2 linked regions of the Drosophila melanogaster genome follow. The protein of the gene in region 1 interacts with the protein of each later gene in a pairwise test. Each region holds a gene or a part of one and is shown on either strand. Other genes may lie near its edges.

Region 1 (4,621 bases):
ATCCCGATCCGTAATGAAGTTGTGCGCCGGCCACTTGAAAGCTAATCAATATGTTGGCTATCTCCGACAATGTGTAGCCAGGTCAACCAATCATAGGCACACACAAATCAGTCAGAGGTCCTAAAATGCACTTTTCTGCTGCATCACGGCGGAGAAAAGAAATATGAAATTAGTCAAAAATATCATCATACAGCAACCAACTCATTATAATGCCACATGATTGTTCCAAAATCGAACACAATATGGCGGCGTCTCGAAATCAAATCGAAACATTTTAATTACCTTTCGATGAGTGTGCAAAAGAAAATACTGTTGTCCGAACAGATTTACAGAAATAGCTTTTTTGTGTGGCTAATTCTGTGATTTATGAATTTCTTTGTGAGTTTATAATCGCGGTAACTACAAGATGAAGCTATAATGAAGCCCGACGTCTTATTTTAATTCAATTTGGAATCATGAGGCCAAATTACAAAATAATAGAAATAAAGAGGCAACAACAAATGCCAAAAGCCAACATTAAAACAACAAAATATAAGCATGCTGGATATTGCGGAATATTGCTGGCCATATTTTCATTCTTCTCCTCCAATTTCCAAGTTAATTACGCCAAGGCTGAGGTCAATCAAGGATAATCCAGGACCAAGCGATATTTGCTGGAAAGTTTATTAACCTGATTGGCGCTCTTTTCACCAATTATGCGAAACTTTGTTTTGTGTTTTCGCATTTCATGTTTGCTTTCCCAACTTCCACTTGTTAATTGATTTTAATGGCTGTGTTTCGCCGCTTCTAATGAGCCCTACATGCTCAGCCATAAATTTCAATGGAACAAGTTCAACAGCCACTGGAATCAAAGTCATTAATTTGCGTTAAGCTCCGTTTCTGGCTTTATAGTTCGACTTCTCATAGATCACGACTATACCGCATAAATTGTATTTTAAAGCCTCCAACTATGGCTATGTTTTTTCAAAAGTGTTCAGGCTATGAGCTGCAAAGCGATTTTAATTTATTTTTGAAAGACAATTGAAAGAGAAATGCTTGAAATGGGCATGATTAATGATGGATTTAAGAAAAATTAATTATATTGAGAATTTGCATAGAGCGGTTGGCTATCAAAGTAATAGTAAGCCATTATTATTAAATAATACAAAATCTGAAGCCGACAACAAGGCTTAAAGTATAAAAAACAAAGGAGTAGCTAAACTAAATTTTTCAGTTCCTTTACAAATTTGACCAAGTTTCCAAACGTAGTTAAATACATGCCAGTCAAAATCCAAAGTCAAGAGAAGTCGCAGGCTTAGGGAAATACTAAGACCAAAAGTCGAAGTCAACCTAAAGCCGTAGAGTAATCCTAGCCGTAAGGACAACATCTTTGCGGGATTTTCTGGGCGCGGAAGAGCTTTGGGCGCAGGTTTTACAGGTGTCATAAAAGATGACCCGCCCGGCCAGTGGCGGGTTAAGCCAGGTAGTGGGCGTTGCAACGACTTTTGCCGTCGGTAACACGCTCACATCGACAACGTCCGGGATTTGCCCAGGCGGGCAAGGGTTATGCCCACGCAAGGTGAATTCTAAGAGATTGCAGACCTAGCATGTGCTATTCTAAATATAAGCGGTTAAAATCTGCATAAGGCTTCGACTTTCTATTAGTATTAAGATCTTTATAAAACAGGAATAATTACACACAGAATTTGACTGCCAAACCAAAACTAAATAAAAGTATTTTCTTAGTTTAATGAATGGTTTAATATGGTTTAAATATAAAGCGGAATGCACCGCCACACTTACCTGTATGCGTCCGCTTGTGGATCTTGAGGTTCTCGCTCCGGGCGAAGACCTTGCCGCAACCCGGGTGCGGGCAGGCGAAAGGTTTCTCGCCGGTGTGGACGCGGATGTGGTTGACCAGCTTGTACTTGGCCTTGAAAGGGCGTCCGTTGCGAGAGCAGCCCACCCAGAAGCAGGCGTGGGTGGTGCACTCGGGTCCGCCCACGTGCTCCACGGTCAGGTGGGTGACGATCTCGTGCATCGAGTGGAATACCTTGTTGCAGGTCTTCCTGCCGCCCGGGGGCACCAGGCCCGGCTGGTCGGGGTCTATCCAGAGGCACTGCATCTCCTGCTTAACGCTGGAGGCGGACGAGGCCGGCTGATGGCGCATGTAGCGCAGGAAGGCCCCTGCTCCGGCCGGGTGCATCGCGGACATGGCGTGGTGGGACGGGTGGTGCACGACCGGGTGGTGCACTGCCGCCGTCGGGAAGTTGCCGTGGTGGTTGTACGGGTGGCCGGCGGCGTAGGCATCCGCCATGCCCATTCGCATCTGATGGTGGTGATGGTGGCTGTGGAAGGGGTGTTGTCCGAACCCGGAGCCCAGCTCCGCGGCCTGAGCGGGAAAGCCGGAGAAGAGCATGGAATCCGCTGCGGCGGAGGCCTGTCCGGCGGATCCTGCCACACCGTACTCGGCCTCCCTCCTGCCCAGCAAAAAGTCCCGGGAGGCATAGCTGTTAAAGTGCCCATATCCGGAGTTCTGATAGGCTGCAGCAGTGGCCGCCGCGGATTCCTGATCCTGTTGCTGTTGCTGCTGCTGTTGTTGCTGTTGTTGCTGCTGCTGTTGGGTCATCTCCAGTTGCTGCTGCTGTTGCTGCTGCGCGTTGCTGTTACTGGCGGTGGTGTTGGGCGACATTCGCAGCCCGTAGCTGGCCAGGTGGTGCTGAGCCGGCTCAATGAAGGCGTTCATCATCATGGTTACAGTGTTATTGCTCGCTTATATGTTTTTAAAATTAATTCAGAAAGAACTGAACTACAAGTTTTCGATTCGCACTTTGCTAGGCCAATGAGCCCATCACGCACTGAGGTCACCTCACTTAGCTGTATATACTGTGCGCTTATTTCGCTCTTAGATATTTCGCATGCGACTTGATACTTATTTACGTAATGCACTCGCGCGCGATGCGTTTCTGGGGCGTTCGAATCGCAGCAAGACTTGACGCTAACCGAATGCCAAGACTTGACGTTTCAAGATGCGCAGCAGGACTGAAATGCTCCTGAAATTCTAACTCGCTGCTGTGTTGCCTCGTGAAAATATCTGCCGACGATCGCATGCGTGCGAATGGGATCGACCTATGCACGACGTAAAATGAATAGAGGGTAACGAAAGCGCGAGTGCGAGCAGGCCAGGCGTATGACCTGCCTGTGGTGAGTTGCGCTTGCCATGGTGTATTCGGCACAAGCCACCACTCTGTCGGATAGGCCTGAGCCATGGGTGCGAGTGCGACAACTCTAAGAAAATGGCCGCCTCCTCGCATGCTCCAGAGTCGGACAGAAGAGCACAGAGGCTGCGCACTCAGTCCAATTGGAACCCACCCGACCATAGCGCCCTCTCGCTCGGCAAACTGGTTTCGCGAAAATTAACACCCACTGCGGTTGGCCATTGGGTGGTGGGCCGACAGCGTGCGGCGTGCGCCTGTGCAGGGGGCCCAAATGCTGATTGGACCGACGGGCAGCCAATTGAAAGCTCGCGGGGATGCATTTTCCAGCCCGCTCCTCATTGTCACGGCGGACGAATAGCCCGCCACTTCGGGTAGCCCAGCTGTCAGCTTATCAAATTAGTTGTTTATTTTATTGATTTTAATGATATTAAGCACATTCCGTGCTCGGACATCGGAGATTTCCAGCCGTTTTGTTTAGGTTGCGCCATAAAGACGTACGAGATTTCATTAGCGCCAAACGCTCTGTTTTTCATTTGCTAATTTATGGAATTTTCAATAAGCAGTAGTCGAATCAATACATAATCTTGTATCAATCGACTTGATTGGATTCTGCTGAGTGTTAAGTGCCCCGGCAAAGTGGCTTTTGGGGCAGACTGTGAAGTGATACTTCGCCTGCATAGGGCAAAAATGTATAAATTTATTTTCATACAAAACATTTGCTTTGTGATAATATGGTATAACACTATGCTGTATGTATATAGTCAGACGCTCTTCTCAAAATATATGATTTTTTCTATTTACAATCCAAAAACTGAGCGATGCAAAAGGAAGGTCGTTAACATCAAAATTGTCTTCGTTTAGTATTCGTGTTTTGAACTAGTCCTCATCTGTAGATAATTTAAGGTTGATATGTAATTGCTGGCAGAGTATTAAAAATTGCTTAAGCTTTTAAAACGATAATAATTAAAATCAAATTGAATTTGGATATATATTGAGTAATCAAATTTTTATTCAAAAACAGTATTTTCTAATCAAATATATTGCCCTGAATTTATCGTTTGAGAAAACAATATTTCCTGGTAAAGTTTAAATGAGAATGAGAGCAAGAAAAGACCATGTGATTCCATGCTAATTACCTTGATTTCCGCAATGAATTAATTGGGGCAAATTGTGACATAAAGCGTCACCGCCAAGCGGTTCGGCTATTAAATTGTCAAAACAACTCAGCGGCAATCAGCAATCAGCGGACGGCAATCGACAGTCCATAGTCGTCCGAATGTCATACCGACCCCAATGCCATTTTGGGAGACGGGCAAGACCATAAAGCAGCGGAAAGTGCACCGAGCTGGCAGGCACCCAGTCCCGCAGAGCTCCAGCGACAAGTGTCACTCGAAATGAAGCCATTGCTCCATATCGATGATGGA
Region 2 (2,940 bases), on another chromosome or scaffold:
CTGAGAGCCGTCTGCGTAAGGTTCCATCCAAGATGTCCGGAAAACCTCAAGCTCCTGATCTCAACAGTGACGAGTATTTCCCCAGTCTTAGCAAAGCACTCAAACGCACCAAGTAGCCGTATCACGATGATATACTCTTTAAACTTACCGTTTCTGTTGTTCACTATGTTTAACGATATCAATTTTTCTGGTCGATCTGATGCGGGGTGCCTCGATTAAATAAAATTGAAAGCAATCAGCAAGCCCATCTGTTTTAGTGGTGTTTTACTCGTAAACAAATTTGCACTCAACAGGCCCATTAGCATTACACGTCTTTTTGGCTGGTCCCCGATGTATCGTTAGCCGTAAACGAGCCAAATATTTACAATCAAATGGGGTTTAGCCTTAAATGCACCCGGCGGACTGAAAAGAAAACCAAAAACGGCAAATTACGAGATGGAATTTTGTGATTGTTTCCACAGAATGCATGCCAAATATTTAATTAGGTTTGCTAACTGTTGATAGCAATACATGTGAAGTGAAATTAAAGTGGTCTATTTTTGAATTATACGTATAATTTATTAACATCTATTTCTGATGGCATAATCTTTCATCGAACACAAATCTTTGGATCCACTTTGCCTGACAACTTTTCAGCGTGGCTCCTCATCTTCGACAAGGCCTCACGGCTGCAATCTTTAAAGCTCCTGTTCCAGATCGCGGATAAAGAAACCCTACATTCCTTCTAAGCAGGCTAACAATGTCCACCATACGGCCCGTAGCATGAGCAGCAACCATATGGGCCACAAGGACCGCAACAGTGGTTGACCGAACGGAACCACTGGCCATTGTAGGGTCCGCAGAGCAGGCAGGGTCCCAGTCCGCCAGTCGGTCCACAGCAAGTGCCGGGCATCGAGCACATTCCTGGATTGCACATTTTATTCTGAAAACGAAATGAAACGAATCGAGGATATTTTCAAGAAACAAATTCGTTTGTTGTTCACACTCACATTAGCCTGATTACGGAAGTAGGATTTTCAGTCCTAGAAATTTGGTAGTCGTACAAATAGATGTTTTCTGTTGGAGAACCGAAACTATAATGAGCTAAAGCCACTAGCTTGGTCCACAAAGTTCTACAGATTTAACTTTGATTTCATGGCCTTCTATGTTGTGGTTTCATGGCCTGCTTTTAAAATGCTTTTTTCCAAATTTTAAAATTTGATTAACTATATATACAGTTAGCCTCTTAGCCTCTTATCTAATTCGCTTTAAGAATTTTAATTCATAAAACCGTTCCCGATTGTTTGTGTGTCCCATAAAATTCCACTCCATTGCTCCTCCAAAAATACTTCAGTCCGTCCCGAAGGACTTCCCATTCCCCTAAAACTCTCGATGTCATAATTTAGCCGAAGGCGCAACAAGTCGGAAAAGCCAAGCCGCGACTGATTTTTCCTCTTTGCCCCACCTTTCATTGTTTTACCAAGAGCAGAGTTTTCTTAAGCATTTTGTGTTGGGCAATGCACACAAACCTATTTTTCTTCACAGCCGGGATTCCGTCTTCTTGTTTACGGACAACAGAGCCGGGATTCGCAGTCAAAGTGAAGTAAAGTCACTTGACAAGTTTTGTCACGTGCGTCACATGTTGGAATGTCCCCCAGCCACCCAGGCCACCCACTTTTCCGACTCTACCCATATTTCCACTCTGGCTTCTGAGCATTTGGAAGCAATTTTCCAGGCATGCCTTGCCGCTTCTGTCGTTGTCGTCATTTCATTGTTTCAAAATTGTTGCTCATGTTGTTTCTGTTGTTGACCTGGTTCTCTGTTTTCTTTTCTTTTTTTTTTGCCACGTTTCTTGGTTACCAACCGGTCTGCTTCAACTGAAAAGAGCTCTTGCTGGCGTAAATGTGTTTGTGATTATTTAGTTATGGCATCTAATTGAGTTTGGTGTTTGTTTGGCTGGCGCGGGAGTGTGCAAAGTGTGCTTATGCAATAGCTAATTGAGTCGATTACCCCAACACTTTTCACGTTTTCACCCAAATAAGCTGTAAGGCTGAGTGTAAATTAATCCATCTCGAAGTTCCTAATTTTTATGAGTTTAAGAAAATAAGTAAAAAAAACTCTGAAGGATGAAGAATTCTGTACATTTTACAAGTTTATTTACTTATAAAGCTCATGTACATCGATTTTCCAACATCACTATCTCATCTATTACTTAATCGAATTAAATGAAGGAAAGGCCAAGAAAATTTGATCGGATTAACTTCTTATCTTTTACCAACATTAAATTAAAGCACTTCCGCCCTTCGTAAATAGCCCGTTCGTTTGGTGGCCTTTTGGGTCTGGTTGAGCTTATTTTCTGTTCCGATTCCGGAACCCCGAATACCCCGGGAAAATTCCCGTATCCCCTTCCGTAACCAAACATCATCTCCATCGCGTGTTGGTCTCGTATTACAGCATTGCATATTCGCAGGCGCGTGCGCTCCCATTCGATTTGAACTCCATGGCGACTTTAAGGAAAATGCATCGAAGAGCCGAATATGTTGTGACTGTGAAGCTTAATGTTTCGTGTTGATGTGACTTTTTTCCACTGTTTTTTTCCGGCTTCTTCGCTGGTATTTTTACAGTTTTCAGCAATGCCTTTTTCAGCCCGCTCAGAAGTTCAATGTCCCCCATTTTATGAGCGTCCGTGCAGCGGAAGTTTTGGAGCGATAAGTTTTTGGTTCCGTTCTTATGTTTTTGATTTATTTGTTTGTAACTCACAGCTTAAAAGCGGAAGAAAACTCCATTAAAATGTTTAATCATAACTAATAATGCATAATTGCACAATAAATTTTAAAATATACATACATATGAGGAAAGCTACAAGTGCTCACATAGATTCTACATAGTCAAATAGAAAACTTTATTTAATTTAAAACCATAAAATATTAATTATTCATTTATGTAACTTATAAATAAAAA

What was found. The genes of interacting proteins can lie anywhere in the genome.
Region 2: the proteins of opa (region 1) and CG34168 interact in a two-hybrid assay, tested with the Drosophila melanogaster proteins (2 studies listed by BioGRID).

The regions. Positions count from the first base shown.
Region 1 is NT_033777.3:4,851,216-4,855,836, reverse strand, and holds the start of opa (odd paired), read right to left. Parts: upstream 3,025-4,621; 5' UTR 2,732-3,024; coding exon 1,783-2,731; intron 1-1,782. UniProt on the Drosophila melanogaster protein: Transcription factor essential for parasegmental subdivision of the embryo. It is involved in the activation of wingless (wg) in odd parasegments.
Region 2 is NT_033779.5:16,134,173-16,137,112, forward strand, and holds CG34168 (uncharacterized protein), read right to left. Parts: upstream 1,101-2,940; 5' UTR 990-1,100; intron 923-989; 5' UTR 917-922; coding exon 734-916; 3' UTR 542-733; downstream 1-541.